7 linked regions of the Mus musculus genome follow. The protein of the gene in region 1 interacts with the protein of each later gene in a pairwise test. Links are inferred from orthologs where the notes say so. Each region holds a gene or a part of one and is shown in the gene's direction. Other genes may lie near its edges.

Region 1 (4,010 bases):
TAAACCGTTCTTCATTTTTGTTCCTAAAGTAGCTGTAGAATATACATGGGCAAGGAAAATGTATGTGCTTGTGAAATCTGGTTTGCATGGGGCTTACAAAGTTTGTTTTGACTGCCTTAAAAAGTTAGTAATTACATTTTTTAGGAGATATTGTACAGATCGGCTTGATGACATTTGAATGTTTTCTTTTGGAAACACTAGCAAGAAGGCTCACTTTGTGCTCAGCATTGCCTGAATAACCTATTGCAAGGAGAGTATTTTAGCCCTGTGGAGCTATCCTCAATTGCACACCAGCTGGATGAAGAGGAGAGGCTGAGAATGGCAGAAGGGGGAGTCACTAGTGAAGACTACCGCACATTTTTACAGGTACTGATTTTCGACTCACTGAGCCCCATTTTATTGTGGAAATGCGGGTGCTCTTTAGAGGAGGATGAGCCGTTCTCCCCCAGGAGTCTGACTCGGTAATTATCACTCTGCTCCTCCTCACTTGGGAAATGGGGTTGTACAGCGTGTTCTTTTAAACGTGCACACTAATTTTAACCCTTTTCCCATCCCCCTCTGCCCACAACTACTGCCCATGAAAATTGAACAGCAGCCTTCTGGAAATATGGATGACAGCGGCTTTTTCTCTATTCAAGTAAGTAGTCCAGAGTGCAGCGCTGCCTCATTTCCAGCCCCGCTTTGTCCTGAGGCTCAGTTGTGGTTGATGTGCCACAGTGTGCCACAGCTCTTTATGTAACGATGGAGGCTTCTGCAGCTCCTTCTGTAAACTGTCTGCAGAAGATAAGACACTGCAGAGTGCTACACGTACAGAGATGACCACAGGACAGTAGACTCTTCACTTTAGAACGGCTTTGACTGCTCACATGCTTAGGACAGGCAGGCCCTTGCTGCCTATACAGTCCTCGCTGGTCTGAGACTTGTGATCGTCTTCCCCTCTGTGTCTCCAGACTGAAATTATAGGTGTGTGCTACCACAGTCAGTTTAGAGTGGGGCTTTTAAAAATTACTTTCTAAGAGAGATTGCTTAATTTGCATGTAGGTGCTAATAACTCTAATAAATTTCAGTGCTTCAAACTCCCCATCTCTGGCATGTCTGAGAAATTGCAGTGTCTTGCAGTCTTCTATTTAAATCATCCTCCAGGATTGGATTCCTGTTGGGTAGGTTGTAGCCCTCTGAAGGCTGGTATGGAGATTGCCCTCAAGGCCTTGCATGTGCCGAGCTCAAACTGACCCCGAGCCACATCCCAGTACTTTACGTTCTATTTATCTGTGTTGGTTTATTCTTTTTAGTGCTGGGGATGATATCTAAGACAATATTCTGCTCTAGAGAAAATCTCCAGCCCTGTGGTTATACATACATACATACATACATACATACATACATGCATGCATATACGTGTGTGTGTCTGTGTCTGTCCTTCTGTAGCCTAGCATGGCATGGCCTTGAACAAAGCCCTGCTGCGGCATCCCAGTTGTTGGGGTTGAAGTCTGGGCACGGATGCCTGACTTCGTTTGTGTACTTGTGAAGTCCATTCTGACAATGTGAGCGTTGTCCAAATTCTTTCTGAATCTGTCTTTTGAGAGATCTACTTATGCAAGTGTCTTTCTTTATACTTTCCTTCTATGCCACCCTTCTAGAGTCCTCATTCTCTAGCATTTCCACCCAGTACTTCACTTGTGACATTGTGAGGCCCAGTGGGCTTGTGCTGAGAGTACAGGTGAGAGCCAGCAGTCTCCTGTGGTGTCCTGTGTGGCACTGCTTCCATCTCTGCTCTCTCGCACTTGCAGTTGGTCTGAGTTGTACATGTTTCTTTGTTGACTTCCTGGGATAACAGGTGGAATGTTGTCTTAATTTCTCTCTTTTTTTTTTTCAGCTTGCTATCATCAGGTTTGATTTTCTGTTCATGGAAGTTTAAAATACATCAAACCTTCTTTTTAAAGATTTATGTGCCCATGTGTGGATATGTGCACATGAGTGCTGGTGTCTGTGGAGGACAGAAGAGGGCACTGGAACCCTGCAGTTGACATTACAGGCTGTTGGGAGCCCTGACGTGGGTGCTGGGAACTGAGCTTGGGTTCTGTAAGAGCAGTGTATACTGTTGACCACAGTCATCTCCCCAGTGCCCAGACCTTTCTTTTCAACCCCCAGGGAGAATTTATTTACTATACACCTTTGGTGACTGCCATTGCAGGTAGTAAGTGTAGGAAGGGATAGTTTTACAAACAGCACCCACAGTGTGGCGTGCTTCTGGATGTGTGAGACAGTGTTATCTACAAATTCTCTGCTTTTCTGACATTCCTCAGAATGGAAAAGCTCTCTTTCAAAATGGATGTGAGGGGCTGGAGAGATGGCTTCCGTTTAAGAATGCTTAATGGTATTTCAGAAGAAGACCGGCTCAGTTCCCAGCATGTACGATAGACTGCTTACAACTGCCTGTAGCTCCTACATGGACACCTGATGCCGTCTGGCCTCCACAGGCACTCAGACACACTTAGATAAAAAATAATAAAACAATACATCTTTAAAACTTGCAATGAAATAAAATTAAGTTCACATGTATATATTATTTATGGATTTAGTGGGGTGTCAAGGGAACATAATTTGTAAAAGCTATATCCTCAAACTATATATGAAGAATAGTTGCTTATAGTAGCTGTGCTACTTAAACTTGGACTTGAAGGTTTAGCTCATGAAAAGTTGTTATTTTTCTTTTGACAGGTTATAAGCAATGCTTTGAAAGTTTGGGGTTTAGAACTAATCCTGTTCAACAGTCCAGAGTACCAGAGGCTCAGAATTGATCCTATGTAAGATTTTTTCCTATATTTCTTTATTTAGATTTGATTTTTAAAGCTGTAATTTCTGAATGAGGACAAAATCATCATGAATGTCTTTGCTTTATTCTGTATTTGATGCCCTTAGACTTCACCCCGTCACCTTTTTGGTGCCTTTCTTCAGTGTCAGTGGTGGCCCTGCCCTGAGTCCTGTGGGGGCTTTGTGCTTAGCATCACTAAGCTCCTATGGGAGACGCATAGTGATGCGACTTTTATTTTTTCAAATAAGTAATTAAGTATTAATAAGTAATTAAGTATGTCATTAAGTAAATGATAGGAGATACTTGCTAGTACATCTCTACTATCCCAACTTAACAGTATATGTTTTGTTTTCTTCTAGAAACGAAAGATCCTTTATATGCAATTATAAAGAACACTGGTTTACAGTTAGAAAATTAGGCAAGCAGGTAATATATCTTCTATTTTCTTGTCCTTTTATCATAATCTGTACTCTGTTTGAAACTAAAATTTGATATTGGTCTCTTTGGAATGTATCCTAGGATTCTGTGCACTCTACCCAAGTCTGGACTCAATTTAACAGATAAAAATTTCCTAGCTTAAGAGAAGATAATCATCTTCTCTTCAGATTTTTAAAAATAAACCTATATATGTTATGTCATAATGAAAATTTTGTAGTAAAAACAGTGCATATGTGGTTACCGTTACATATGTTTTTGTGTGACGATTTGTGTTTAGCATAGTACTACAACAAAGCCTGAGATCATGGTGGGAATGCGCATTACGGGATGGGCTTCTTTAGGCGATTCTAGTGTCTGGCAGTACTTACATCTGTGCACAGTTACCACTGAACGTGGCTTTAAACTAGTCACGTAAGGCCTTACTAGAATGTTAGAGCTTGCTAAAGGTTATTGAAAACCAGCTTATATAGTCAAAGGGAATGAACTGCTAATATACTCGCAGCGTGGATGAATCTCAGAAATGGGAGCTAAGACCTAATGACAGAAAGTAGACCGACTAGTGCTTGTGTAGGGCTGAAGTTGGAGAGAAGGCACAGAGGGACCTGGAGACGGGACTCTGATGAGGGTGCTCCAGTCTCGGTCATGTTGATGTGGGTGATAGAGATTCTTTGAAACGACAAACTGTAGAAGTGGAAATATAATTATGTGCAGTTTTATCCCAGTGCTGTGGCCCACACCTTTGACCTAGGAAGACCTT
Region 2 (4,010 bases), on another chromosome or scaffold:
CATCTCTGAGCCATCTTTCCAGCCCCCATGGTAGCTTAGCTTAGCTTTGCTTTGCTTTCTTTCTTTCTTTTTCTTTTTCTTTTTTAAGATTTATTTATTTATTATATATACACTGTACGTGTACAGATGGTTGTGAGCCTTCATATGGTTGTTGGGAATTGAATTTAGTACCTCTGCTCGCTCTGGTCAGCCCTGCTTGCTCCAGTCTGGCCTAGTCAGGCCCGCTTACTCTGGCCCAAAGATGTATTTACTATTATAAATAAGTACACTGTAGCTGTCTCCAGACAGCACCAGAAGAGGGCGTCAGATCTCATTAAGGATGGTTGTGAGCCACTATGTGGTTGCTGGGATTTGAACCTGGGACCTTCGGAAGAGCAGTCAGTGTACTTACTCACTGAGCCATCACACTGCCCCCCCCCCCCCAGCTCTGTTTGTTTGTTTTTTTCTAGACAGGGTTTATCTGTGTAGCCCTGGCTGTCCTGGAACTCACTTTGTGTAGACCAGGCTGGCCTGGAACTCAGAAATCCGCCTGCCTCTGCCTCTGCCTCCCGAGTGCTGGGATTAAAGGCGTCTGCCAACCCCCCAACCCCCAGCTCTTTAATGTTGTTTTGGGAGTGGAGTATTTTTGGAAGAATTTGTATTTTCTCCATCATTTACCTTTCAGAACTGTTGTGTTTCTTATATTTATATTTTAAGTGATTTCTTAATATAAGAAATCACTTAAAACTAACTTTCTTTCTGACTCTTAGATAGAGCTGGTCTGGAATTGAATTTACTATATGACTCAGCCATGCCTAAGATGATCCTCTGCCTTCCCAGTGCTGGAATTAAAGTGTGACTCCCCGTGCCTGGCTTATCTTTTTCTTGTTTTTATTTAGGTTTGCTTTTTTTTCCACAGACAGTAATTATGTGTTATTTCTTCCATTTCTCCATCACTACAGCAAATTAGCCAACACCAGGAGCATTTTATTCAGATGCTGAATGAACCAGTTCAGGAAGCAGGCAGTCAAGGTGGAGGAGGTGGTGGCGGAGGAGGCGGTGGCGGAGGAGGCGGTGGAGGAATTGCAGAAGCTGGAAGTGGGCACATGAATTACATTCAAGTAACACCTCAGGAGAAAGAAGCTATAGAACGGGTGAGTTTAGGTACAGTTGGGGTTCCTTGGTCACCCTGGCACCTGGGCTAGTGGCTCCTGCTACCATGCAGCTGTGGCATTTCTTTCCTTTGTCCCAGGGACTGCAGTAGAGATTGTTTCTCTTAGCCACATCCCCTGCTTTTTGTCCTTTCTTGGCCCCAGTAACAGCCTCCAGTACCTTAAAGTACTTCAAGTACTAAATCAAGTATGACTAAAGCACTAAACATCCAAACTAATTAAAAATCCTTCATTTCCCATATTTTAAATTTTACTTTGTTACTGTCCCCAAAGTGTTAAATATGTATATGAATTATGTATATAAATTACGTGTGAGTGGTGTACAATAAACATGAGACATTACCCATCTCTTTTGTCGTAACAAGTGGACTGGTACAGCCTTAGGCCCTGCAACAGCCTATGTCTTGTGTGTAATGCTGTGATCAGTAGCTCCATTTCCCCCTCCCTTTTTACATTGTTTCACATTGTTATGAAGTGTTTGGGGATGCTAATCAGATAGAGCCCTGTGTTCTCAGAGACCTCTGCTCTCTTGCTGAGATAAAGATGTGCTTGCCCTTGTCTGGCTTTAATTTTCTTCTGTACTTAGGCTTCAATTGGTTTCTCATTGTAGCTTTTTTCCTTTTCTGTTTTTCTGTGATTATTATTATTATTTGGTCTGTTTTCTTGGTGTTATATAGAACATTACTTAATCCATGTGAAAGTCAGGTTCAGGTCTCCAATTCTTTCAAAGAGCTCACAGGTCGCTCTTACGTGTCGGGCTGTGATCCATCCTGAGTTCTTGTGGTAAGGACTAACTGCCGGTCAGTGGTGCATGGATGTGTCAGGGTTATTTTGGGGCTCAGTTTTAATCCTTTGCTTTATGTTTATCCATAGCCATCGAGGCCAGTCCCTCATTCCCCACCACCTTTACTGTACATTTCCAGGAAGGTTTCAGGCTTTCAGGCTTCAGACAAGTGGTCTGCAATATGAAGTGCATATTTAACATATCAAAGTGTACCAGGCCTCCAGTTTCTCTCAGCATCCCTCAGTCCCTACCTGTTACAGGCCATGACTGGTGTACCCCACTATGTATGCTGAACCTTACAACCCATGGGCTGGGCTTCCTCTCACCCACCAGCTCTTCACTATATAACCCAGACATTTTAGTTCCCTCCCCTCCCCTCTTCTTCTCTTCCCTTGTTCTCCTCTCTGAATTCTCCCCTCCAACACCCCAAATCAATATTTGCCCCCCCCCCTTCTGTCTCCCTGTCTGCATGTCTGCTTCACTCCTGTAAGGTTGGTGAACTTACCCCAGAGCTTCCCCCAATTTGGCTTGAATTGACTCATTTCTCCGGCAGAGAATGACTGATCAGCAAGTGTGAAATCAGAGGGTGTGGAGTGCTGCAATTTTGTTTACAAAATAACTGTGGCTGTTTCAGATCCTCATTCATTCTTCTGTGTAAGCCTCAGGGTCGGCTTGTCCATTTTCAGGGGGTGAACTCTGGCTGAGTGTAGAGCCCTTATTATGCTTACTCTGGAAATGAATTTGAGAAATGTCCTCTATCTTTTCTTCCCCTCTTTTTGGTTTTTGGGCTTGTCATTTGAGCAATCTTGATATAGTAGCCTATGGTGGCTTGGTATGTAGGTGAGGATAACCTTGAAGTCTTGATTCTTCGGCCATCATTTTGCAAGCACTGGGATTGCAGCATGCAATACCCGGGAGGTGCAGTCTTAAGATTGTAGTAAGATCATTTCAAAACAAAACAACTTAATTCTTACCAAGGCATGGTCAGTGATATATTGTAGCTGTAATAATTAAAAATTAAAATTTTAGGCTGGGCGTGGTGGCGCATGCCTTTAATCCCAGCACTTGGGAGGCAGAGGCAGGCGAATTTCTGAGTTTGAAGCCAGCCTGGTCTACACAGTGAGTTCCAGGACAGCCAGGGCTACACAGAGAAACCCTGTCTCAAAAAACAAAAAAAATTAAAATTTTGTATTACTTTTGAGTTTATTTCCTAAGAACTATTCTTTTTGATGCTGTTAGGAATTGTTCTTTTTATTTTCAAAATGTTCATTGTTAGTTGCAGAGAAGAACAGTTTGGTTTTCTGTGGTGATCTTATATTCCCCAAAATCTTGCTGAACTCATTGTTAGTTTATTCCCATGGAGCTTGCTGGTTAGGGAAGTTCCTCTTCAGTGTCAGGGTGTGAAGATTTTGTCATAACAAGTTAAATACTTTCTCTAAGTTTATCAAAGGATCATCTTTCATTCTTACAAGTAGTTTATACTATATGGAAGCATCATTTGCATACCTGGGATAAAGCCCACTTTTTGTCTGTTTTATAACAACTGTTACTTTGTAGTTTCCTGATGGTGGATATATTGTTTCAGTATTGGGGAATTGTGGCCCCACAGAAGGAGTAGAGGGTAGTTTTGGAAGAATTTAAGAATTGGTCTTGATTGTTTAAGGAGCTGGCAGACTTTATTAGTTGCCATCTGGGCCTCGTTTTCCTATGGGAAAGTTCTGTTATTCTTACTTCATTACACTTTTCATTTGTCAAAAGGAATGTTTCTAAATTTTATTTCTTTGCAATTTGAATCTTTAGTTTTCTGTTTTTCCATGATCATCTTAAATGTTTGTCAGTTAATGATTTTTATGTGTGTTTAAAATGTGCTTGTTTTTGTCTTTTATCATTGAAATATTGGTATTTTCTCTTAGTCAACAATACATCCTGAAGTTTCCCCTGCCTCCACTGCTCCCAGCCCAACTCTTTTCAGCTTTTGTTTTGTTTTGTTTTGTTTTGTTTTGTTTTAATGTTACTGGTTTTCTTGTTAAAATTAATTGGTTAGTTTTTCTCTTATTAAGGTAGATTCAATCATT
Region 3 (4,010 bases), on another chromosome or scaffold:
AGTGGTCTTGAGGGTACAATTGATGTTGTCATGGTGTGGTACTACATGCCTTTAACCCTAGCACTCTGGAGGCTGGGACAGAAGGACCACAAGTCTGAGGCTTTTTATTCATGTTTGTAATGCCCACAGCTGCCTCTGTTTATACCATATCTATGTAAACTCTTAACAGTAGACCTTTCTGGGAGACATAGGCAGTTTTACTCTCCAGAATCTCCCCAACACCTAGCACAGTGTTCTAGCCCATGGTAGGTAATGAAGAACGACTAGGTAACCTGAGCATGTGTCACACTGCCCGTATAATCATAGCGCCGATAGCAGAGGCACAGGATCAGGATTTCAAGGTCATCCTTGACTCCTTTGCAAGTTTGAGGCCACCTCGGGTTATGTGAGATCTTGTCTCAAAAGCAAAAGAAAAGGCTGGGCCTGGTGGCATATGCCTTTAGTTCTAGCACTTGGTGGACAGATCCCTGAGTTCAAGGCCAGCCCGGTCTATAGAGAGTTCCAGGACAGCCAAGGTTATACAGAGAAACCCTTCTGAGGGCTGGGATTGAAGGTATGCAACAGCAGGCTCAGAAAGAAATGCATATTAAAGATAAAAAAAGAAAATAAATACTTAAAGATTGTTAGGTAATCCTCTAGGATCCCTGGTACAATTTTCAAATAGTGATTTTTCAAAGTCTTGCTTAATTAACCTGTTAATCCGGTACTTACACTTTAATAGTCTTGCCCTTTGGCTCGATCTGATCGGTCAGGAGGTAGTTGTTAGCTTTTTGGAGCCCCTTGGGTTACAGTGCCTCCAGCTCTGAGCAGAACCTTCTTTTCCCTTGTCTGCAGGTTGTGGACCTGGAGTGTTAGCAGATGCCAAAATGAGAGTATTTGAGCGTGCGGTGTATTTTGGTGATTCTTGCCAAGATGTTCTTAGCATGCTTGGCTCTCCACACAAAGTCTTCTATAAATCTGAAGACAAGGTAGGGAAAGGTACTTACAGTGTGAATAGCCTCTGTGTCCCCAGTACTTCAGCACTTCAGCATAGATGAGGTCTGCCCCTGAATAGTCTGTTCTCCATGAAGGAAAAGCTTCCCGCGGGCCCTCCGGTGTAACGGCACCATCTCTGTAACCTGGAGATGTGTCCACACTAACAGACCTGGCTCCTCAGCCTCACTTATCCAACAGCTTAGTGTTACATAAGGAGCACAGTATAACTAGAGGCTATTTTAAAGGGATTTTAATTTGTTATTTTCCCCCCAACAGATGAAAATTCACTCTCCTTCCCCTCATAAACAAGTTCCGTCCAAGTGCAACGACTACTTTTTTAACTATTTTACTCTCGGAGTGGTAAGTACGAGGCCTTAACGGGTTTCACTGCTGTTGGCGTAGGCAGGGCGCTGTCAGGTGCTGTGTGACCGTTCCTCCCGGGAATCAGAGAACTTTTGTCTTTTTTGCTTGTGCCCGGTCTATTTTTCATGGGTTCTGGTATCCCAGTGTAGTCAAGACTATGGAGGAATGCTGCGATACTGGCTTTCCTGGTACATCTTGCCTTTCTGTCCCGAGGAAAGTCCTTCACATATGGGGACTGTGGACAGTCTGGCTGGTAGATAGGATGCTTGTATAAATGTGCCAAGTTGGCATGTGCCGTCGGTCATCATTGTTTTTTAACTTTGGTTTGAGACAGGGTCTTGTTGTGTGGCCAAGGCTAGACTCAGACTTAACAATGATCTCGTGTCTGTGAGGACAGGCATGTGTTACTATACCCAACTGGACCATGAATCCTCAAGTGGCTTTGAGCTTTCAATGTTCTGAAGTCTAAAGGCAGAAAAGTAGATTATAGAGAGGGAGAGAAAAAGGCTGCTTAACCTACACAAGCCAGGAATCTGTAGGGAGCTCTGTGAGGACAGACTTCTGAGGGTAGGATGGCAGGTGCCAGGAAGGAATGGGGCTGAGAGAGTCAGAGTTCAAGGACCAGTGAGGAAGATGGCAACAATGGATAGCTTAGGTTGCATTCTGTTGGTAAAGAGACAGAGCAAGAAATTACCCTTAGTGCCTAGGAAAGTTAGTAGTTACAAGAGGAAATGATTAGCATATGGCATCAAATTCAGGTTTCAATTCTGATAAATGGTTATTTTCCATTACTTGTCAATTTTTATAGAAGCTGGGATCCGTTTGGTTATAGTGTTTCCGTAGGTGGGTATCTGAACCTTTCCAGAGTAAACTGCCCTGAGTCTTCTTGGTGGCTTTGAGCCGGAATCTGCATTTGACTAAAAAAAAATGCTAGGTCCCATTGGAAAAATAAGATTTCCCTTCCTTGCTGTTCAAGTTGCCAACAGTGGAACTAGAACCCCAGTTCCTGCCAGGCCCCCTCCACCAAAGATGCCTGGTTAAGGCCTCTAAATATGTGAAGGAAGTTCCTAGTGTTTTCATGATTGAATGCTCCAAGTTGGAATTCTCTTGGAAAGGCCCCTGACCTGCCTTGCTGACTTTTCATACTTGAACACCTTGTTTCCTTTGTCAGGACATCCTGTTTGATGCAAATACACACAAAGTGAAGAAGTTTGTCCTGCATACCAATTACCCTGGGCATTATAATTTTAACATGTGAGTATACCTTAGGTGAGCAAGAGGAACAGAACTTGGGGCTGAATGTGGTGCTGGCCGTTGAACCCAGTGCCTCGAGTGGGCTGTCGGCACTCAAGGCACTCACGGCTTCTACCTGACACTTCTGGCTTGTGGGAAATAAATGGATGCTAGGTGCCTTCTGTGCCCCTGCCCAGTACATCTGTGTGTACTGTTAGCATTTATAGGCAGGGTCTTATGGTCTGGTGCATGTGTGTAACCTAGGCCAGCCTCAAACTCAAAACAATCCTCATCTCTCAGCCTCCTCCTTCTGCGATTACAAGTATGAGTCTCTGTGTCCGACCAGAAACTTTTATCGCTTATAGCAATAGTTAGTAGTCTTTTTAGACCTGAAAGCCATGTGCTTTTCTGTTGGGCTTCAGTGTCTGAGTTGGGCCTTCCTCCCAGTGAATGTTGTGAAAGATCCCAAGCTAGGACTTTGGGCAGGTAACATGGGCTTCTGCCTTTTCTGGGATGCTGAGTAGAGATGTAAGAGTGGTTAGGCCTCCCGAGAAACGGGTTTATCTTTGTCTGTCTTCTTTCTAGTTACCACCGCTGTGAGTTCAAGATCCCACTGGCCATAAAGAAAGGTGAGTCGAGAGTCCCCTCAGGTTAAAGGGACATGCAGTTACCTGCCTGTATGAAGAAAGTAGAGGGGGACTGTAGAGATGGCTCAGCGGTTAAGAGCCGACTGCTCTTCTGAAGGTCATGAGTTCAAATCCCAGCAACCACATGGTGGCTCACAACCATCTGTAATGAGAGCTGATGCCCTCTTCTAGGGTATCTGAAGACAGCTACAGTGTACTTACATATAATAATAAATAAGAAAAAAAAGAAAGGAAGAAAGAGGAGAAGCCAGCCAAGTGTAGTGCTTGGGCTGGCAGTGTCCTTGCTCACTGTCTTCTCCCTAGAGCCTTAGAGCCTTATCTCCTCTGGGATGATCCTTTGTTCTCCTGTGACTGGCACTATTGGCTAGTGGACAGAGGAGTTTCCTGTCTGCAGATTAACACCCAGTGTGCCTTACACATCCTTTGTGCCCATGGCCAACTAGTGTAGCTCACACCAAGATTGGCCTCCCTTTGCCTTTCTACGTTCTTCCAAACAACCTGCCTTTGCTCCCTGTGTACTCCAGCCATAGCACAAAGAGTGGCTATTCTGGATTCTGCCTGTGGCTGGACCTACAGGCCAGCTCAACCCAGCCTGCACCATCTTCTCTTTCCAGAAAATGCAGGTGGTCAGACTGAAATATGCACAACCTACAGCAAGGTAAGCTCTTATCTTCCTGTCTGGTAGTCTAAGAAGGAGGTGTGCATGTCTAGGGCCATGTTCTCTGGGCAGTGCATTAGTCACAGCTGTGTCTGGGTCCTTGCTGACCCCTGCTGCCCCTATCCCTTTTGCAG
Region 4 (4,010 bases), on another chromosome or scaffold:
GTAGCCTGAGAGACAGACGTGGAGGCTGCCATCTTATGCTGTGTTTTCTACTCCTGTGTGGTTTTTCTCTCATTCAGTGAATATTAGGTGTGACTAAGTAAGAAACTGCATTTTAATCCTAGTTTAACTAGGCGTGGTGTTTTTGGAGAGCTGTTGCTTTTATTCCTTCCACGCAGTTTGTGTGGAAAAGAGATTCAGCCAAGGCCCAGCAGCCATGGGCTCTATGGTTGGTTATCACTTCAGTGTCTGGATGAAGTTAAATTTCACCTTAAGCCTTTGTTTTTGTTTGTTTCTTGTTTTTGTTCTATCTGCTGGGACTAATACTTTGGGGCTTACTTTATTGTATAGCAACAAGTACTACTTGAAATTAAAAAGTGTTCTGAAAATCGAACTCAAACAGCTACAATTGTTTATGGCAATATTGTTTGGTGTCTTAAGACAGGGTATCACTATGTAGCTCTGGCTGTCCTGGGATTGGCTCTGTAGGCCAAGCTGGCCTCAAACTCACAGAGATCCAGCTGCCTCTGCTTCTGGAGTTCTGGGATTAAAGGCGTGCATCACCACTGCCTGGCTTGGCAGAATTCTAACTGCATGTTTTATACATTTTCCTTTAGGATGACCTTGATCTGACAACCTCATGTCATAACATGTCCTTCCAGCTGGCAAGATGTCAGAGACAGAACAGGGTAGATCCTTCCTCTCAGCAGGAGGAGACCCAGCAGCACACAGAAGAGGCGCTGAGAGAACTCTTCCAGCATGTTCATAACTGGCCAGACTCCGCGAAGAAGAAACAACTTCTCAGACAGGTGCCTGGGTACAGGGACATAGGTGGGCTCTAGGAATCGCTGGAGAACACCACTCAGAATCACATTGGAACAGGCTTTGGCTCAGTCAAAAAAAAAATCAGGCTTGTCTGTGGAATTGCAGTTCTGGAGAGAGGTGTCAGAGTGCTTGACTCTCTGCAGTTAGCTGTGCTTAAACATCTGTAATTTTAGTCACCTGACAAAAACGCTCCAGGGTTTGTGTGGACCAGCAGCTCCAACGTACCATTCCAGGACTGCAGTGCTGTGTGCTCCCTAGGGATATAATTTCTGAATTTCCATTTCCAGCTTTGTGAAACAGTTGTAGCATGCATACATAGAGCTTGTAAAGGAGGAGAGGCTGGCAGAGCAAAAGAGGCAGCTCTTCCTGATGGATGGATGGATTGTTTGTGGTTAGAAAACAGCCTAAAACAGGGTCCTAGTGTATTAAACAGGAATTCTGGTGTCTGCGTTTGCTTATTTTGGGGTTTTGGAGGTAAGGTTAGGTCATTCATTTGCTACTTTGAGGACTCAGTATGACTTGAGTGAATCCTTCCTGGTTGGGAGTCTCTCAGGAGATTTGTCTTAGTTCCTTTGGATTGTGCTGTTCAGGCAAGGCCAGTGCATCAGTCAGTCCTCACTCCCTGTGCAGACTCCTGGGGTAGTCAACATGTGAAAGGAAGGAGTTGCACTTGGCACACAGGGGTGGAAGTTTCTGTCCTTGACTGAGTGGCCCTGTGGGAGGCCTGATATTAAGGCACCAGCATGAGCAGGGCAAAGCAGTGCACCACATGACCAGGTGTCATAGTACCCCTTAGAGGCCGTGCCCCTGTGAGCCAGTACCTCCCACCCCTGGCTTTGGAGGACATTGTAGATTGAACCGCAGTAGTCAGCTCTTCATTCTTGTTCAGCTTGTTCCTTCTTTGGGAAAGACTGCCTTTATTTTGGGGGGAGGGGTGCATCTCTAGCATAAGGCAAGATAAAGAGGTATCAGACACTGCTGGGGACTGAGCTGTTCCCATCAATGGACAAAGTCCTCTACAAGTGTTTTGTCATGGCCATAGAGATGGTTTTAAGAGTAGCAGAACTCAAGTGTGGTGTTAGACATCTGTAATTCCAGCAGTAGAGAAGTAGAGACAGGTAGATCTCTGTGAGTTCAGCTAGCCTGCTCTACATAGGGAGTTCTGGGACAACCAGAACTTGGTTAAAGACTACAGTGCCTCCCCCTGCTGCCCCTTTTTTTAAACTGGAGATGTCTTTATACAAAGAGCTGACAGCATTCAAAGTCTGCGTTCAATCTCTTTCCCTTCATAGCAGTGCTGGCTGACAGAGAGTTTCAATACCTTAGGAGCATTCTGGCTTAGGAGTTCAGTTGGTAGAGGGCTTGTCCTCCATTCATGCACCCTAGGTTGGATTCCTGATGCCTCATAAACTGGGTATGGCCATCTAGGTTTATAATGTCAGGACTTGGAAGGTAGAGGCAGGAAGATTAGGAGTTAAAGGTCATCCTTGGCTATATAGAGAGTTGAGGCCAGCTTGTGCTACATGAGACTCTATCTTAAAATAAATCCTGGCATATAGTTTGTTAAACTGGGGACTCTCATGGCTTATGCTATGTTCTGCTTCCAAGGTACTTGATGCAAAAATAATTCTGGTTTGCTAGCAGGTCTGAGACAAGCTCTTAAGCACTGTGGGTCCTGGTTTCCTGTCTGTAAAGCAGGCATGGGCATCCCTTGTTCAGAGAATCTGAGTCTTAGGACTTCTTCAAGTAATTGAGTATATTTTGTGTTTTTGTTTTTGAATGTCCCTTCTGCTTTTGTGATTGCCTGTGAACCTACCCTATACATCTAGGGAGTCTTTGACTTTCTAAGTATCTTCACTCAGGTATTATTTGCCCTAGGTTGCTGTTTCTTGATGGCACAATGTTAATACAATGGTCTCTGTATTTTTTGTAGTTCCATAAGCAGTCTCTGACTCAAACACCAGGGAGAGAACCTTCTACTCCCAGGGTCCAGAAGAGAGCCCGCTCACGCTCCTTCAGTGGGCTTATCAAGGTAAGCCTGTGTTCCTGCTGCCCACATCAGTTCTCAGGAAATTTGCGCCTTATTTTCTTGTGTTTAAACAACTTAATTCTGTTCCTTGGAGTCCTAGAAAGGGTTAATTAGTAAGGAGACAGAAAAGGAAAAGTTTGGAAAAGGCCTTCTTTTCTTTTTTAATTAAAGATTCATTTATTTTATATATGTTAGTACACTATTGCTCTCCTCAGACACACCAGAAGAGGGCATCAGATCCCATTGCAGATAGTTGTGAGCCACCATGTGGTTGCTGGGAATTGAACTCAGGACCTCTGGAAGAGCAGCCAGTGCTTGTAACCATTGAGCCATCTCTCCAGCCCCAGGCCTTATTTTCTAAAGCATTTTACTATGTTAGAAATTGAAGGAACACTATAGTGGGAAAGTAGTACTGGCCTTCCCTCCTCCTGGGGTCTGAGGACAGGAGTCTCTCTTGCTCCCTGCTTCACTCTTAGCTGGGGACGAGGGACGTTGTTGGACATTGGACTTTCTAATGCTCCCAATGAATTTTGTATCTTTTATTTTGGTGAACTTAATATTTTCACTGTTGTTTCTTTCCATGTATCAAAATGACTAGAAATCTTGTTTCTAGAACAAATAGAAAATGCATTTCTGTGTCATTGCTGCTGTCACTAAGTGTGCAGGCTGCTGACCATTACTGCAGTTAGTGGGAGCTGCTGTCAGGTTCAGTCACAGGGTTCACATTTCTTTCTTTGTATTCTTTTCTCATCCATTACGTCACTACCTCCGTTTCTCCTCCCAGCTTCTATCCCCCACTTCACACCTCCCCTCTTCCCCAGATACACTCTTTCTGTTTCCCTCCAGAACACAGCAGGTCACTCAGGGATATCTATCCATTGAACATGGCAGAACAAGTTACAATAAGACCTGGCACCTCCCTCATATCAAGGCTGGACGAGGCAACCCAGTAGAAGGAAAAGGGTCCCAAACACAGGCAAAAGAGTCAGAAAATCCCCCAACTTCCACTGTTAGGAGTCCTGCAAGAACACCAAGCTACACAACCACAGAGTGTACATAGAAGACCAAACTCAAACCCATATAGGACCCACGTTTGTTGCTTCAGTCTTCACAAGCCCCTATGAGCCTTGCTTAGTTGATTGTGTGGACTGTGTTCTCA
Region 5 (4,010 bases), on another chromosome or scaffold:
TTTTCTTTTCTTTTTTTCTTTTTTCTTTTCTTTTTTTTTTTTTTTTTTTTTTTTTTTTTTTTTTTTTTTTTTTTGCCTTTGAAAATACTCATGGTTTTTACAGAAAAGTTACCATGGAAAAATCAGGAGCCTGCAAAGCTCCCTTTTTCCATGTAGATAGCGCTGGCCACAGTTCCTTTCAAAGTTTTTCTTACACGTAAACTTATTTTTTAAGAGGACAGTCTCTCCTTATTTCTGTCTGTGCCTCTGTGGTCATTGCTTTTGTTGATTGCAACTTTTCTTTGTTTATTTTTCAATCATGGTTTCAGAATGTAGCCCTGGCTTACCTGTACTTCACTGTGTAGACCAAGGCAGTCTCAGTATCAGATTCTACCTGCCTCCCCCTCCCAAATATTAAGATTACAGCAAGCCACCATGCCTTGCCCTACTTTATATTATAGTGATAGTGTGTTACTCTGTGGGCAGGCCCCATTGTACAGTTACCCTCTCCTCACCCTCACTGTCTCTCTTCTCAGCAGCTGGCTTCCTGGGCAACCATGGCTCAGGCCCCTCTCCACTCATTTCTCTCCATAGTGTGGCCTCTTCCCTATCAACTATGAATTCTTATAGGTGTACCCACTTCACAATAGTGCCAGCTAAGGTAGTCACCTGTGATGGCCAAGTTGATCCCAGTCTTCTGTGGGCCTCCATTAGCCTCTGTGTGTCTTGCACACATGGAACATACAGGCAACACATTCACAGGTGTGTCCAAGCCGGTGCCTGGGTTCCTTATGTATCAGGTGGTTCTTGTTAGTTAGGCAGGATCTTCTGTGGTCCAGATTGGCTTCAAACTCTGTTTAGTGGGAGATGACCTTAAACTTGTGATCCTCCTGAGTCTACCTCCCGAGGGCTGAGGTCACGGGTGCACACCTTGCAGGCTCAGTGTAACCAGATGTTTAGGAAAGAGCCCAGGCTCCTTGGCAAGTGCTCCGCACCTCACCTGGCACAGGGTCGACCTAGGGTTTCTGAATGCTAAGGCAAGTCCATGGAGTACATGGGCTTCTACCCTGGCTTGGAAGCTCAGCTTATAAACTGCTCGGGTGAACCGTGGTCAGGACCCCAAACTAGGGATCCGGGAGCAAGGGAGGCTGAGAAGCACAGTGGATTTATTTGGTGGTGTGGCTTTGCTGTGGGATGTGCTAACTCTGGTTGACTTGGGGAGAACTTTGATGGGCTGGTCCTTGGAGTAGTAATTGGGCCAGGTTGCTCAGGTTCAAATGTGATGTTGAGAATGGGCAGGGGGGATTCTAGTTTCCGTGATGTTCATTGGTTCTGCTGGGGTCTTGTTATGCGCTTACCAGTGTTCTGTCACTAGAGCAGTAACTGTCATTTTATACTCTGCCAACAGTTGTCCAGGCAAAAGATACCATGGCTTGTCCCTGTCTCTTGGACTGTAGAGGGCCCCAAGGGCCCTTGATCATGATCCCTTCTGACCTCTGGACTCTTTCAGGCCTACGGACCATCGGTGTCATCACCAAGCTAGACTTGATGGATGAAGGCACAGACGCCAGGGATGTCCTGGAAAACAAGCTACTGCCCTTGAGAAGAGGTATGTACACAGGGCTGGGGTGGGCCACAGATCAGGGGTGTATCTTTTGTGGTTCTCCTCTGGACACAGTGTTTCTACATTACAGCTGTTTTCTGGAACACTAAGAAGCAGGTATGCAGCCACACTCGTGCTCGGTACTTGCTGTAATCCCAGCACTCTGGAGGTGGGGTTGGGGTCAGGAATTCCAGGTCATCTTGGGCTACATAGAAAGTTCTCTGTCAGCCTGGGCTACATGAGACCTTGTTTCAAACAAACAAATACAGAATGTTTCATCAGAAATAGATTGAGTTACTGGAAATGAGTCTCAGTGGTTGTATTACTCAGGGTTCTCTAGAGTCACAGAACTTATAGATAGTCTCTATAGAGTAAAGGAATTTATTGATGACTTACAGTCTGCAGTCCAATTCCCAACAATCGTTCAGTAGTAGCTGTGAATGGAAGTCCAAGGACCTAGCAGTTGTTCAGCCCCACATGGCAAGCAGGCGAAAGAGCAAGAGTGAGACTCCCTTCTTCCAATATCCTTATATGGTCTCCAGCAGAAGGTGTAGCCAAGTTTAAAGGTGTGTTCCACCACACCTTTAATCCCAGATGACCTTGAACTCCCAGTCTTCTGGAATCCATAGCCACTATGCCTCAAGATCTCCATACCAAGATTCAGATCAGAAACTTCTATCTCCCAGCCTCCAAATTAGGGTCACTGGTGAGCCTTCCAATTCTGGATTGTAGTTCATTCCAGATATAGTCAAGTTGACAACCAGGAATAGCCACTACAGTGGTATAGCCCTTGCTCAGCACATGCAAGGAACCAGGCTCATTCCCCAGCTTCCCAAACAAAGCATAACAAAGAGACACTGCTGCTGCTTGAGTCTTCCCTAGCTAGTGGAGGCTGGGGGATGAAATGCAGGACCAGAAAGGGAGTCAACTACATGGGGCAGTCCCTGTTGAACTGCACCTCCAGCCCACTCATACCTGCCCTTGAAGTTCACGATGCTTTCCTCAGCTACCTTCCATGCCATTCACACCCTTGGTGGGGCTCAGTGCTGCCCTGTGCCCGCTCTCGTGAGTGATTTTTGGACCAGTCTGTTTCTAGTCTCCACCTGGCCAGCTCAGCACAAAGCCATAGCACCATGTCCTTCCTGGCGTAACGCATACCTTGACCTTCTTTCTTCAGGCTATATCGGCGTGGTTAACCGAAGCCAGAAAGACATCGAGGGCAAAAAGGACATCCGGGCTGCTCTGGCAGCCGAGAGGAAATTCTTCCTCTCCCACCCAGCCTACCGGCACATGGCTGACCGCATGGGCACCCCACACTTGCAGAAAACCCTGAACCAGGTATAGCGGAGGTTTGAGGCCACCAAGGGCTGGTAACTACAGCTAAATGGGAGGTTGCTGTAGTCTGGACTCCTGCAATCTAACCCTGTGCAGCCTTTGAGCACAAATCCTGGCCTGGCTTTCCCATGCCTTCTTTCTCTTGTCCATCTTGCCCTTATATTTCCTAGGGTAGGGGTCTGTGAGGCCATGTGTGTCCAGGACAAGGTACATGCCTTGTGTGACAGGATACAGTAAACAGTATCCACCCACTGCTCTGTGCCTCACGCCTCCTTACTCACAGTGACGACACAGTGAGAAAACTGGAGCGCCTGCCTAGAACCCCCTAGTGAGGGTGTGGGGGTGTGGCTTGGTGGCAGAGCACCTGTTTAGAACCCCACAGTGGGAGTGTTACTTAGCAATAGAGTGCAGGCCTAGGATGTGGAAGCCCTGGGCTTCATCTCCAGTACCGAATAAATCCAGTGTGGTGGTGCTACTGTAATCCCAGCACTCAGGAGCTCAGAAAGCCAAAGTCATTCTCAGCTATGTGATGTGGGATAAGTGAGAGTCTACCTGAGTCAAAAAACAACAGCAAAGACCTCTTTGCTCATAGATTGGGACCTGAAGAGAGAGCCATTGTCCTTAGGGAATGTCCACTGGAAAGCCAGCTGGTAAACGAGCCACCAGATGAATTCCTCAAGTGTTAGCTGTGGCTGGAGGTTAGTGCAGAATGAAGCTGAGAGCAGCATCCCTAGAGCAGGTGCAGCAGGCATTGGGCAGTGTGTCTTGTAGGAAGGGATAAAGGGGGCTGGAGAGATGGCTCAGTGGTTAAGACTGCTCTTCCAGAGGTCCTGAGTTCAATTCCCAGCAACCACGTGTAATGGGATCTGACACCCTCTTCTGGTGGGTCTGAAGACAGTGACAGTGTACTCATGTACAAAAAAATAAATAAATCTTTAAAAAAAAAAAAAAGGAAGGGCTAAAAGCAGAGACCACTGGACCTGGCCAAAGTGTGGAGGGGCAGGAAGGAAAACCCTCCACAGAGCCTGGGGCTATTGAGAACCAGAGGTGTATAGCTTGGCTGGCCCCCCTGAATTAAGAGGTGCTCTGTGGA
Region 6 (4,638 bases), on another chromosome or scaffold:
GCTGGGGTGAACTCCACCCTTTATTTTTGGTACTGGGTTGAAGTTCAGAAAAGCAGGCAGATTTCACCCTTACCTGGAGGCAGGGTCACCTAAAATGAAGCTTCCTCTTGCACCTTCTTACAACCATTCCATCCCTGGGCACTAGGGGACAGGTCCATGGACATAGGGAACTGGGCCTCGAGTCCTCTGGACCAGTCTCTTCTCTTTCTTGGCGATAGGAATGGAAACTAGGGCCTCATACATCATAGGCAAGCCGTAACACTCCTGCAACCATATCTTCAATTAATAAAACGTAACTTGTAAGAATCCAATAATGAATCCAGCTGCTCCTCCTAGAACACAATACACGCCTTTCTCCCCTTCAGATTCCGACCGGCCTCTAGTGAGACACTATGAGTGGCGAACTAACAGACTCGGACGCCTGGATCTCTCACCTGAAGGTGATTTTACATAAAATGGGGAACTGGGGGGCTACACATCGGGCTCCCAGCTCCCTTCCCTGCCTGCCCCGGGCCAGAAGCTCCGGCATTGAAGCCACGCCCATCCTCAGAAGGGTGCGACACGCCTACTTCTCCCACATGGACCCTGGTTTCTTCCGAGTCCTCGCCCGCCATGCTAATGTTTGTCTGTGTCTGTCCACTGTGTCAGTAACTCTCAGAAAAGCAAAACCAAAAACCCCACCAATCGCCAACAATCCGCCTCAGTGTCTTTCTGGAGCCCTTGTCAGAGACCTCAGAGCTATGCATATCACACCCTGCCTACCTTGCAGGGAAGCCAGGAGGACAGAGTGGGAAGGCAAGGACAGTGTGGCGAAGCTTCCGGGCGGTGTACAGAGAGGGGAGGCCCGGGGTCTGGGTCGCATTCAGCTTTGTAACTTTAAGGAAAGAACTCAATTTCGTGGGTTCTGGGTTTTCTGTTGAAACAAGGGGATGGGTTGAAGGACGATCACAGGGCTTCTCAACCCCGACCGTTACTGGGGTCGGGCGCGGCATTCCCGGCCTCCCTCCCAAGCCGACGGCCCTCGGTCCCCTCCCCCGCCCGCTCAGGCCACGCGTCCAGGGGCCTGGGGAGCATGTCCTCCCACCCCCACCCACCCTAGAAAACCGAGCAGGGGGGCCCGCCCGGTAAGTCCGGCCGCCGGTTCCAGGCCGAGCCCTCGGTGCCCGAAACCCGCTGCACGCACACAGAGGCGCGTGATCCCGCCCGCCGATTAGTCAGCAGTTGTTTCAGGCCGGCCGGGATCCCTTCCCCCAGCCCTCCCGCCAGCCTCCGTCTCCCTCCAGGGCAGACTCTTCAGAGACGGTCCCTAGAGCCAGCGGGCGTAACCATTCCGAGCCACCGCGCCTCGCGCCAAGGAGCTCTCGGGTTCGTGGGTAACCCTCGCTCACTGGCGCGCTGGCCCCCGAGGCGCCTTTTTTTTTTAGACCACTCGTCACGTCCGGCTCTTTGGGAGAGGATCGGGTCAACGGTTTCGGGAGCGAAGAGCCGAAGAGCTCCGGTTCGCTCCTCTTCGGCCACCCCCGAGGCCTGGCCCGATGGTAGCGTCCGAGGTTGCGGGTTTCGCGCCTGCGCAGTGCGGCGCCTAGGGGGAACGCGAGAAGGAGACGGACGTTGAGAGAACGAGGAGGAAGGCGAGAAAATGGCGTCCACGGGTAAGCGGAGTGGGATCGCGGTCCCGCCGGCGACAGCTGGGACACCCAGACTGGGAGGCGCTCGTCTCTGGGGGTGGCAGGGATGACTGAGTGAAGTCGCCGAAAGGGGTTGGAGTTCCCGCCGCGGCCCGACGAGCTCGGGGGTGGGGGTGGGGGATCCGCGTTCCCTTCCCCTCCCCCACTAGGCGGGCTGGTTCTGGAACCTTTTGGCGGCCGCGTTGCGCGCGAGGGCCTCGCGGTAGCTGAGGCGTGCAGAGCCCGTCCAGGCCTCCTTTGTGTGGTGGTTGTCGGGGCCGGGTGCTCCGGGTCTCTCGCCACGTGGGCCGGGCCTAGGGCCTCCGAGGGCCCGAAGGGGACCGCGGCTGGGCCTGGAGCCCATCACCCCGAAGGCGCGTGAAGCGAGGTGTCTGATGGCGGCTCGAGAAGCCGTGGCCGGTTTCCCGTGGAACGTCTCCTCCCATCGCTAGCCCCAGGGCAAGTGTTTACTGTGTAGGGACTCAGAAAAACAAACAAAAAGCCGTCGCGAATGTGTAAGCTGAGGGGCGCCGGCTTAAGAGGGGAGCCCCATTATCCCCCAGGCCTGGCCCGGCCCGACCAAGCTGCCCCCTCGGAGGACCTAGTTGGTTCCCCTAAATCTTCGTGCTCCCCACTCAAGAGGCTTCGATTTAATCATGAGTTAACTCCACCTCCTTCCCTACCCAAAAAGCAGTGGCTTCCCAGTGTCCTTTTCTCAGCAACCGGCGCGGGGGATCGGTTGTATAACAAGGTCCGTCTGGATCCGGAGAGGAGACTCTTTTCCAGAAAGAGATTTCTAGCAGCTTTGATCCAGGAGAGGCAGAAAAGCCTCGGCACGCCACGTTTCTGTAGGCCTGCTCGTTAAGCTAGCCGGCTGATTTATTTCTTGGCCCTATTGAGGCCAGGGGAAGAGACCCATAGCGGATTTTGAAAGTCCAGGGCGGGAACTCTAGAATGTGATGGTTATGTTGTGGTCCTTACCGAGAGAATAAGTGTAGCCTAGCCCTCACCTGCAGTTTAGAATACAGTTAACTGGCACAGTGGCGGGTTTTTTGTTTGTTTTTGTTTTTGCTTCTAGCGGAATCTAGGGTCTGGTGATGTGGCCTTGGAGGCAGGAGGAGAAAACAAGTGGGGGTGACAGGAAAAGCTCTGGGTTCTTCATTTGGCTTAGGAAAGCTTCCAGCATCACAATTTGACGACGCAAACGATGTAGTTAGTAAACAGCTTGCTTTTGGTACCAGGCTACCCAAAGTGTCCCTAAGAGAAGACTGAGATACGACTACAGTCCAATATATCCTAGTGGAAAATGGTTTCTTTGGTGGTCCTTTTACCCTTCTCTTAACCTCTAAAGCCCAAGAAGGCAATTGCAGTTTTTCTGCTTGATAGATCATTGCCACTTTTTAGTCATCTTTGTTATCAGAAAATGTTGATAGCACCCTGAACCAAATTTAAGTTGAAAAGTGTGCTCTGCTATACCCACAGTCCTGGCCCTGCTGAGGGGACTTTATTAAGGGCTTTCCTGAAAAACTTAGTTTTAGACTTTTTTTAAAGGGTCGGTGGCGATGCACCGGTGCTGGGAAGGCAGAGGTAGGTGGTCTCTGAGTTTGAGGACAGCCAGGGCTACACAGAGAAATCCTGTCCTAGAAAAAAAATTTTTTTTCTTGAGCCTTTCAGTTCTTAAAATAACTTTTTTTTTTGGTCCCAACAAACTTACCCTTGCTAGCTACAGGAATTATGTAGCCTAAACCTTCCTATTCAGCTTGGCTAATGGCTGCCCTGAAGCAAGCCACTGCCTAAGGGGAGTAATGGTTTCCCTCCTCTGTATCTTGTAGAACAGTAACTATAGAGTGTGTCCAGTAAAGCAGAATTACAGTCTCTAAATAACTACCAGAACAAAAAGTAAAACATTAGCATTCTAGGATGCCCCTACATCATAATCTCTCAGCCTGCTCTGTGTGTGTGTGTGTGTGTGTGTGTGTGTGTGTGTGTGAAGTGTTTACGTATCCGGGCATTTAAAGACTTATTTTTTCAATTGTTAAATTATCTGACCATTGCTTCAGTGTCATGCTTGTAGGTAGATAAACATGGGGGGGGGGTCGCTTTTTCCTTAGCCTACCAAATCCTTTGGCAGCACCCTCGTCTCAAGTGGTTGGCTGTTCTGTATCAGCATTGCCAATTTTACATAACTGCTCTTGTGTAAGTCTTTGTAAACATCAAACTTAATGCCAATGACTCAAAAAGTCGTTTTTACACAGAAACCTCAACAAAATGTAGGTTGCAGTATTTGCTTTGTTGTTTGTTTTTCATATAAAGAATGTGGCAAGTAGCCAGTCATCATCTAATCCTAGATTGGGGAGCGCAGCGTTTGAGGCCAGCTAAAGCTACATAGTGAGACCCTGTCTATAAATAAATAAATAAACAAACAAATAAACGGCAGAAAGGTAGACAAAGGAAGGTAGCAAGTAGGCATGGAGGTACACACCTATAATTTCAACACTAGTTGTAGACAGCCATACGGGGTCTGTAGCAAGTTTGAGGCTAGCCTGGTCTATATAACTAATTAAGGTCAGCCAGCTAAGTAGTTAGATCCTATCTCAGAACCACTACTTCACCACCACAGAAAATGTAGCTTTATTGGAAATGCTTCAGAATTTTGTTAGAGGATTATTTTCTTCATTGTAGATATCTTTTGAACAGTTTACTGATACTATTGGTAATCAGAGCTCTGAATTTAAAAGTGTAGAAGGAAAGTAGTCCCATGAGGTGCAGAAAGGTTGAAAGAGTCGATTTTAAGAGGTGAGTTCAGGCCAGGTGGTGTTGGTGCAGGCCTTTAGTCCCAACACTTGTGGGGCAAAGGCGGGTGTTTCAAAGCCATCCCGATCTACAGAGTGAGTTCCAGGACAGCCAGGGCTGCACCCCGTCTCAGAAAAAGCCAAAGGGGGGGCAGAATGAGTTCAGGAAAGTACTGTTG
Region 7 (4,669 bases), on another chromosome or scaffold:
CAATTTCTTTTTTCTTCCTTTTTCTTTCCCTTTCTTTCTTTCTTTCTTTCTTTCTTTCTTTTCTTCTTCTTTTTTTTTTTTTTTTCGAGACAGGGTTTCTCTGTGTAGCCCTGGCTGTCCTGGAACTCACTCTGTAGACCAGGCTGGCCTCGAACTCAGAAATCCACCTGCCTCTGCCTCCCAAGTGCTGGGATCAAAGGCGTGCGCCACCACTGCCTGGCGAGTGCACAATTAATTTCTTTCTTTCTTTCTTTCTTTCTTTCTTTCTTTCTTTCTTTCTTTCTTTCTTTCCTTCCTTCCTTCCTTCCTTCCTTCCTTCTTTCTTTCTTTCTTTCTTTCTTTCTTTCTTTCTTTCTTTTTTTGGTTTTGGTTTTTTCGAGATAGGGTTTCTCTGTGTAGCCCCGACTGTCCTGGAACTCACTCTGTAGACCAGGCTGGCCTCGGACTCAGAAATCTGCCTGCCTCTGCCTCCCAAGTGCTGGAATTAAAGGTGTGCGGCGTGCGCCACCACGCCTGGCTCAGAGTGCACAATTTCTTATTTTTCTGAATTTTGACACGACTTACTTATTTCTTTGCTGGGGTTTTGCTACGCTTCTGAGCTGATCCAGAATGCCCGGGCTCAAGGGATTCTCTTGCTTTAGCCTCTGACTGCTGAGACTTTACAAGCCTGTGCTACTGTGTTGGGATACCTTGCCAGTTTGAAACACTGAGCAGCGCTGTCTACTATTCCTCCGCCATCTTTGTAGTGTGCATGTGTGTGAATTCTTATTCTTTTCTTTCTGTAATCCTGGCCATCTGTCCTTTCCTTTAAGGGCAGTGCACTTTTGGTCTTACATCATAGACCTTGTCCTGATAGTCTTGTTCTGGTTTTATCCAATATAGAGAATCTAGACAGGATTCCAAGGCGGAGGATCAATATACCGTAAAGGCCAAACGGGAGTGGCTTTTGACGAGAAGCAGAGACGGGGAGCTTTTTAATGGATAGCAAGTGCTCCGGTCTTGTCAGGTGGTTTCGTTCATCTTGTATATGTATGAGTGTGTATGTGTGTGTGTTATGACATCAGAGCTTCAAGTGTGTGTGTTATCGAACTCGGGACCCCACATCTGCAGCCCAGGTTTTAGAACTAGCAAGAAGAAACAGACATTTGAACATACTTTTTTTTTTCTTTCTGGTTTTTCGAGACAGGGTTTCTCTGTATAGCCCTGGCTGTCCTGGAACTCACACCAGGCTGGCCTCGAACTCAGAAATCCACCTGCCTCTGCCTCCCAAGTGCTGCGCCACTTCTTAGAGATGCTTTGAGGCAATATCTTTGGAACGAGAAGTTTGTGGGCAGCGGAAGTTGGTCATTTAAATGATGGGGGGTGGTGGTGGGTTATGGACGGCGGGAAGCTCAGCGCCAATTCAGTGACTGTTAGCGGAAAGGCGTGCAAGAGCGGGAAAGAAGGCGCCAAAAAAACCGCATCCAAGAACGAGGGGCCGATGGGATGCGCACGAGAGTTTTTGAACATTGAATCAGACCAATCACAGAGCGTGACTCATTCTGTCTGCACGACGAGGGCGGGGCACTGAGTGACAGACAGACCAATCACAGAGCGTGACTCTCTGGTAAAGCGTGAATCTCTCCTTCCGGCCTCGGCTTCGGGCCACCAGAGACGGAGAGACGGAGACGGAGTCGGAGACGCGAGACGCCAGCAAGCGTTTCGGGTGTGGGAGAGCAGACGCCTCCCTGTTTAACAACTTTCTCCTGGATTTGCAGCTTCCTCAACGTCCCTGCACCTTCAGGTAATAAGTAATGGGTATAGTTTTCTGGCAGAAGTGTCTTTTTGAGAAATTAGAGACTTGAGGACAGAATATTAAAATATATTCGTGTTCCATAGGCTGGAGCCAGACATTTAAAAAATGGACCGCATTACTGACTTTTACTTCTTGGACTTCAGAGGTAAGCAAGCTTTGTATGATAACATTTATTTTATGACTGATTGAAATCCTCGAGATGAACTGGTTGCTGCAACGGCTGCCCTTTTGGGTTTCGGTGTTGTTCCTTTATGAAATCCATGTCTGAATCTCCCATAGACAATTTTAAGGTGTCTCATCCGCCCAGTCTCTGCAGTACTTCGTCTCTTAGCCTTGGCACTGCAGTTAGACTTTTGCTTGCGCTTGGCAGGGTAGCCACGTTTGCCACAGATAGATTTCTGATAGTGGTCGTCCTTAGAGCCACGGAGACCGGCGGTACAATGTGTGCCTGTTTTTGGGATGCTTTCCAAAGGATGCCGTTCCTTTTGTCATGTTGCTTCTACCTCCGAGGCCAAAGAGACTGGAAGAGCCCCTTTTTGGCTTTTTTTTTTTTTTCAAGACAGGGTTTCTCTGTGTAGCCCTGGCTGTCCTGGAACTCACTCTGTAGACCAGGCTGGCCTCGAACTCAGAAATCCGCCTGCCTCTGCCACCACCGCCTGGCTTCCTCTTTGGCTTCTTGAGACAGAGTTTTTACTCTGTGTCTCAGGCTGACCTAGAACTTTATGTAGCCCAGGCTATCCTCAAACTTGCAATCTTCCTACCTAAGCTTCCAGAGTGCAGGTGTCAAACACCACACCTGGCCTATAATCCCAGCATTTGTAAGACTAAGGCTGGAGCAACACCTCAAATATTGTTTCCCAAAACAAAACCAAACAAAATGAAAACAAGCTCGGAGAGAGCTCTGTGGCAGTGTTTGCCTTCCACATGTAAATCCCTGGAGTGGAGGCCCAGCAGTGCAGTTTGTCTCATAAGTTTGTCTTTTCACAGTACTCAGTGCACCAGTTTTCCTCATGTATGTACCAGAAATAATATTTGGAACCTTTTATGAACTAGTGTAAGGAAACAAAATTGACAATCCATAGCTTATTTTCTGGTCATAATCTATAGCTTTTCCCCAGGAATTTTAGGAGATGCGGAATCATACTGTTTAACCTGAAAAAATACTGTGTAAAAAGTATATTTAAGCTGGGCAGTGGTGGCGCATCCCTGTAATCCCAGCACTTGGGAGGCAGAGGCAGGTGGATTTCTGAGTTCGAGGCCAGCCTGATCTACAGAGTGAGTTCCAGTACAGCCAGGGCTACACAGAGAAACCCTGTCTCGAAAAACCAAAAAAAAAAAAAAAAAAAAAAAAGGACATTCAGGAAGTTGTTGCAAGCAGATGGGCAGCTAACAATATAAACTTATTCTTGGAGATGATGCGGCTGTTAAGATCTTATCTTGTCCTAATTGTAAGGCCTGAATAAGGGCAGTTAGCTTGCCTCTAAGGCAGGGGTTTGAGGAACGAGCATATTTGCTTCTATAGTATCAAGGCAACGAAGTATTGTATGTTCTGCTTGTAAAATGATTTTTTTCAGAAAAAAAAATGCTGCCATCCACAAGCCATTCAACCTCAGGGCTATAAAGAAGTTTATCTTTAAGAAATTTAAAATTTATTTACTGTTAGAAAAACTAACTGTAAGGGCAGGTGAGATGGCTTAGCCAGTAAAGATGCTGGCCACCAAGCCTGGTGTCCCGAGTTGATCCCTGGGATCCACATGGTGCAAGGAGAGAAGAAATTCTGGAAGATTGTCTTCTGACCTCTATACTGGTGACATGTTACACATATGCACTTATAAGTGCACACGTGTGCGGAAACACACAAACATACACACAGACACACACACACACACACACACACACACACACACACACACACACAAGCAATTCCTGAAAGATAGGAGGCTAGTTTGAGGCCATCCTAGGCAGTATAATGAGACCATGCCTTGAGTAAGCTTCACATATACCTTTTCATATGGTAGGTTTGGAGACAAATTCTTATTTTCCTTTGTTTGGACTTTTAGCTTCTTTAGTTTGTTGTTATATAGATGCCCTTGTGATTTATTATTATAATATCCAAGTTTATATTTTCTTTTACTGATGTATTTATGATTGCTCATTCTATAAAGTCTTTTGAAAATCGAGCTGGGTGTGGTGGTGTATACCTGTAATCTCATCACTCCCAGACGCTAACACAGGAGGATTGTGAGTTTAAGGGTATCCTGAACTACATAGTGAATTTGAGGCCCCCTTAGGATATAAAATGAAACTGCCAAAAATGTATTTAAAAAACCTTGAATATAGTTGTATGCAATACCAGCCCCTGCCTAGTAGAAATTAATGAGCTACATATTTAATTTAAAATATTCTTTTTTTTAATGGTTTTTCGAGACAGGGTTTCTCTGTGTAGCCCTGGCTGTCCTGGAACTCACTCTGTAGACCAGGCTGGCCTCGAACTCAGAAATCCGCTTGCTTCTGCCTCTCAAGTGCTGGGATTAAAGGCGTGTGCCACCACTGCCTAATTTAAAATATTCTAGTAGACACATTAAACAGTATAAATAAATAGATGAAATTAATTTTAAAAAGATTCACTTATTTTTATTTTATATGTAAGGGTATTTTGATTGCATGTCCATCTGTGCATTATCTGTGTGCCTGGTGCCTGCAGAGGTCAGAAGAAGGTGTCAGATTTTCTGCAACAAATGGTTAATCGCAGCACTTGGGTGGCAGAGGCAGGCAGATCTCTGTGAGACTAGTGGGTCTATATAGCAAGTCCTAGGCTAGCCAAAGCTACATAGTGAGAGACCCTGTCTCAGGAACAAACAAACAGTACCCCCA

The links.
Region 2: the proteins of Atxn3 (region 1) and Rad23b interact in a two-hybrid assay, tested with the Homo sapiens proteins (2 studies listed by BioGRID and IntAct). The link is inferred for Mus musculus from reciprocal best matches to the Homo sapiens genes ATXN3 and RAD23B.
Region 3: the proteins of Atxn3 (region 1) and D230025D16Rik interact in binary tests that used the Homo sapiens proteins (3 or more experiments, as listed by UniProt). The link is inferred for Mus musculus from reciprocal best matches to the Homo sapiens genes ATXN3 and PHAF1.
Region 4: the proteins of Atxn3 (region 1) and Arhgap19 interact in binary tests that used the Homo sapiens proteins (3 or more experiments, as listed by UniProt). The link is inferred for Mus musculus from reciprocal best matches to the Homo sapiens genes ATXN3 and ARHGAP19.
Region 5: the proteins of Atxn3 (region 1) and Dnm2 interact in binary tests that used the Homo sapiens proteins (3 or more experiments, as listed by UniProt). The link is inferred for Mus musculus from reciprocal best matches to the Homo sapiens genes ATXN3 and DNM2.
Region 6: the proteins of Atxn3 (region 1) and Ewsr1 interact in binary tests that used the Homo sapiens proteins (3 or more experiments, as listed by UniProt). The link is inferred for Mus musculus from reciprocal best matches to the Homo sapiens genes ATXN3 and EWSR1.
Region 7: the proteins of Atxn3 (region 1) and Tex11 interact in binary tests that used the Homo sapiens proteins (3 or more experiments, as listed by UniProt). The link is inferred for Mus musculus from reciprocal best matches to the Homo sapiens genes ATXN3 and TEX11.

The regions. Positions count from the first base shown.
Region 1 is NC_000078.6:101,944,631-101,948,640, reverse strand, and holds part of Atxn3 (ataxin-3), read left to right. Parts: intron 1-201; coding exon 202-366; intron 367-592; coding exon 593-637; intron 638-2,721; coding exon 2,722-2,807; intron 2,808-3,174; coding exon 3,175-3,241; intron 3,242-4,010. UniProt on the Homo sapiens protein: Deubiquitinating enzyme involved in protein homeostasis maintenance, transcription, cytoskeleton regulation, myogenesis and degradation of misfolded chaperone substrates.
Region 2 is NC_000070.6:55,384,469-55,388,478, forward strand, and holds part of Rad23b (UV excision repair protein RAD23 homolog B), read left to right. Parts: intron 1-941; coding exon 942-1,133; intron 1,134-4,010. UniProt on the Homo sapiens protein: Multiubiquitin chain receptor involved in modulation of proteasomal degradation. Binds to polyubiquitin chains.
Region 3 is NC_000074.6:105,245,587-105,249,596, forward strand, and holds part of D230025D16Rik (UPF0183 protein C16orf70 homolog), read left to right. Parts: intron 1-834; coding exon 835-968; intron 969-1,251; coding exon 1,252-1,335; intron 1,336-2,509; coding exon 2,510-2,592; intron 2,593-3,156; coding exon 3,157-3,200; intron 3,201-3,742; coding exon of another isoform or gene 3,743-3,832; coding exon 3,833-3,876; intron 3,877-4,010. UniProt on the Homo sapiens protein: Plays a regulatory role in autophagic activity. In complex with BCAS3, associates with the autophagosome formation site during both non-selective and selective autophagy.
Region 4 is NC_000085.6:41,777,954-41,781,963, reverse strand, and holds part of Arhgap19 (rho GTPase-activating protein 19), read left to right. Parts: intron 1-614; coding exon 615-806; intron 807-2,755; coding exon 2,756-2,854; intron 2,855-4,010. UniProt on the Homo sapiens protein: GTPase activator for the Rho-type GTPases by converting them to an inactive GDP-bound state.
Region 5 is NC_000075.6:21,469,854-21,473,863, forward strand, and holds part of Dnm2 (dynamin-2), read left to right. Parts: intron 1-1,489; coding exon 1,490-1,588; intron 1,589-2,759; coding exon 2,760-2,920; intron 2,921-4,010. UniProt on the Homo sapiens protein: Catalyzes the hydrolysis of GTP and utilizes this energy to mediate vesicle scission at plasma membrane during endocytosis and filament remodeling at many actin structures during organization of the actin cytoskeleton.
Region 6 is NC_000077.6:5,096,023-5,100,660, reverse strand, and holds the start of Ewsr1 (RNA-binding protein EWS), read left to right. Parts: upstream 1-1,564; 5' UTR 1,565-1,639; coding exon 1,640-1,652; intron 1,653-1,855; exon of another isoform or gene 1,856-2,379; intron 2,380-4,638. UniProt on the Homo sapiens protein: Binds to ssRNA containing the consensus sequence 5'-AGGUAA-3'. Might normally function as a transcriptional repressor. EWS-fusion-proteins (EFPS) may play a role in the tumorigenic process.
Region 7 is NC_000086.7:101,056,627-101,061,295, reverse strand, and holds the start of Tex11 (testis-expressed protein 11), read left to right. Parts: upstream 1-1,656; 5' UTR 1,657-1,783; intron 1,784-1,878; 5' UTR 1,879-1,900; coding exon 1,901-1,940; intron 1,941-4,669. UniProt on the Homo sapiens protein: Regulator of crossing-over during meiosis. Involved in initiation and/or maintenance of chromosome synapsis and formation of crossovers.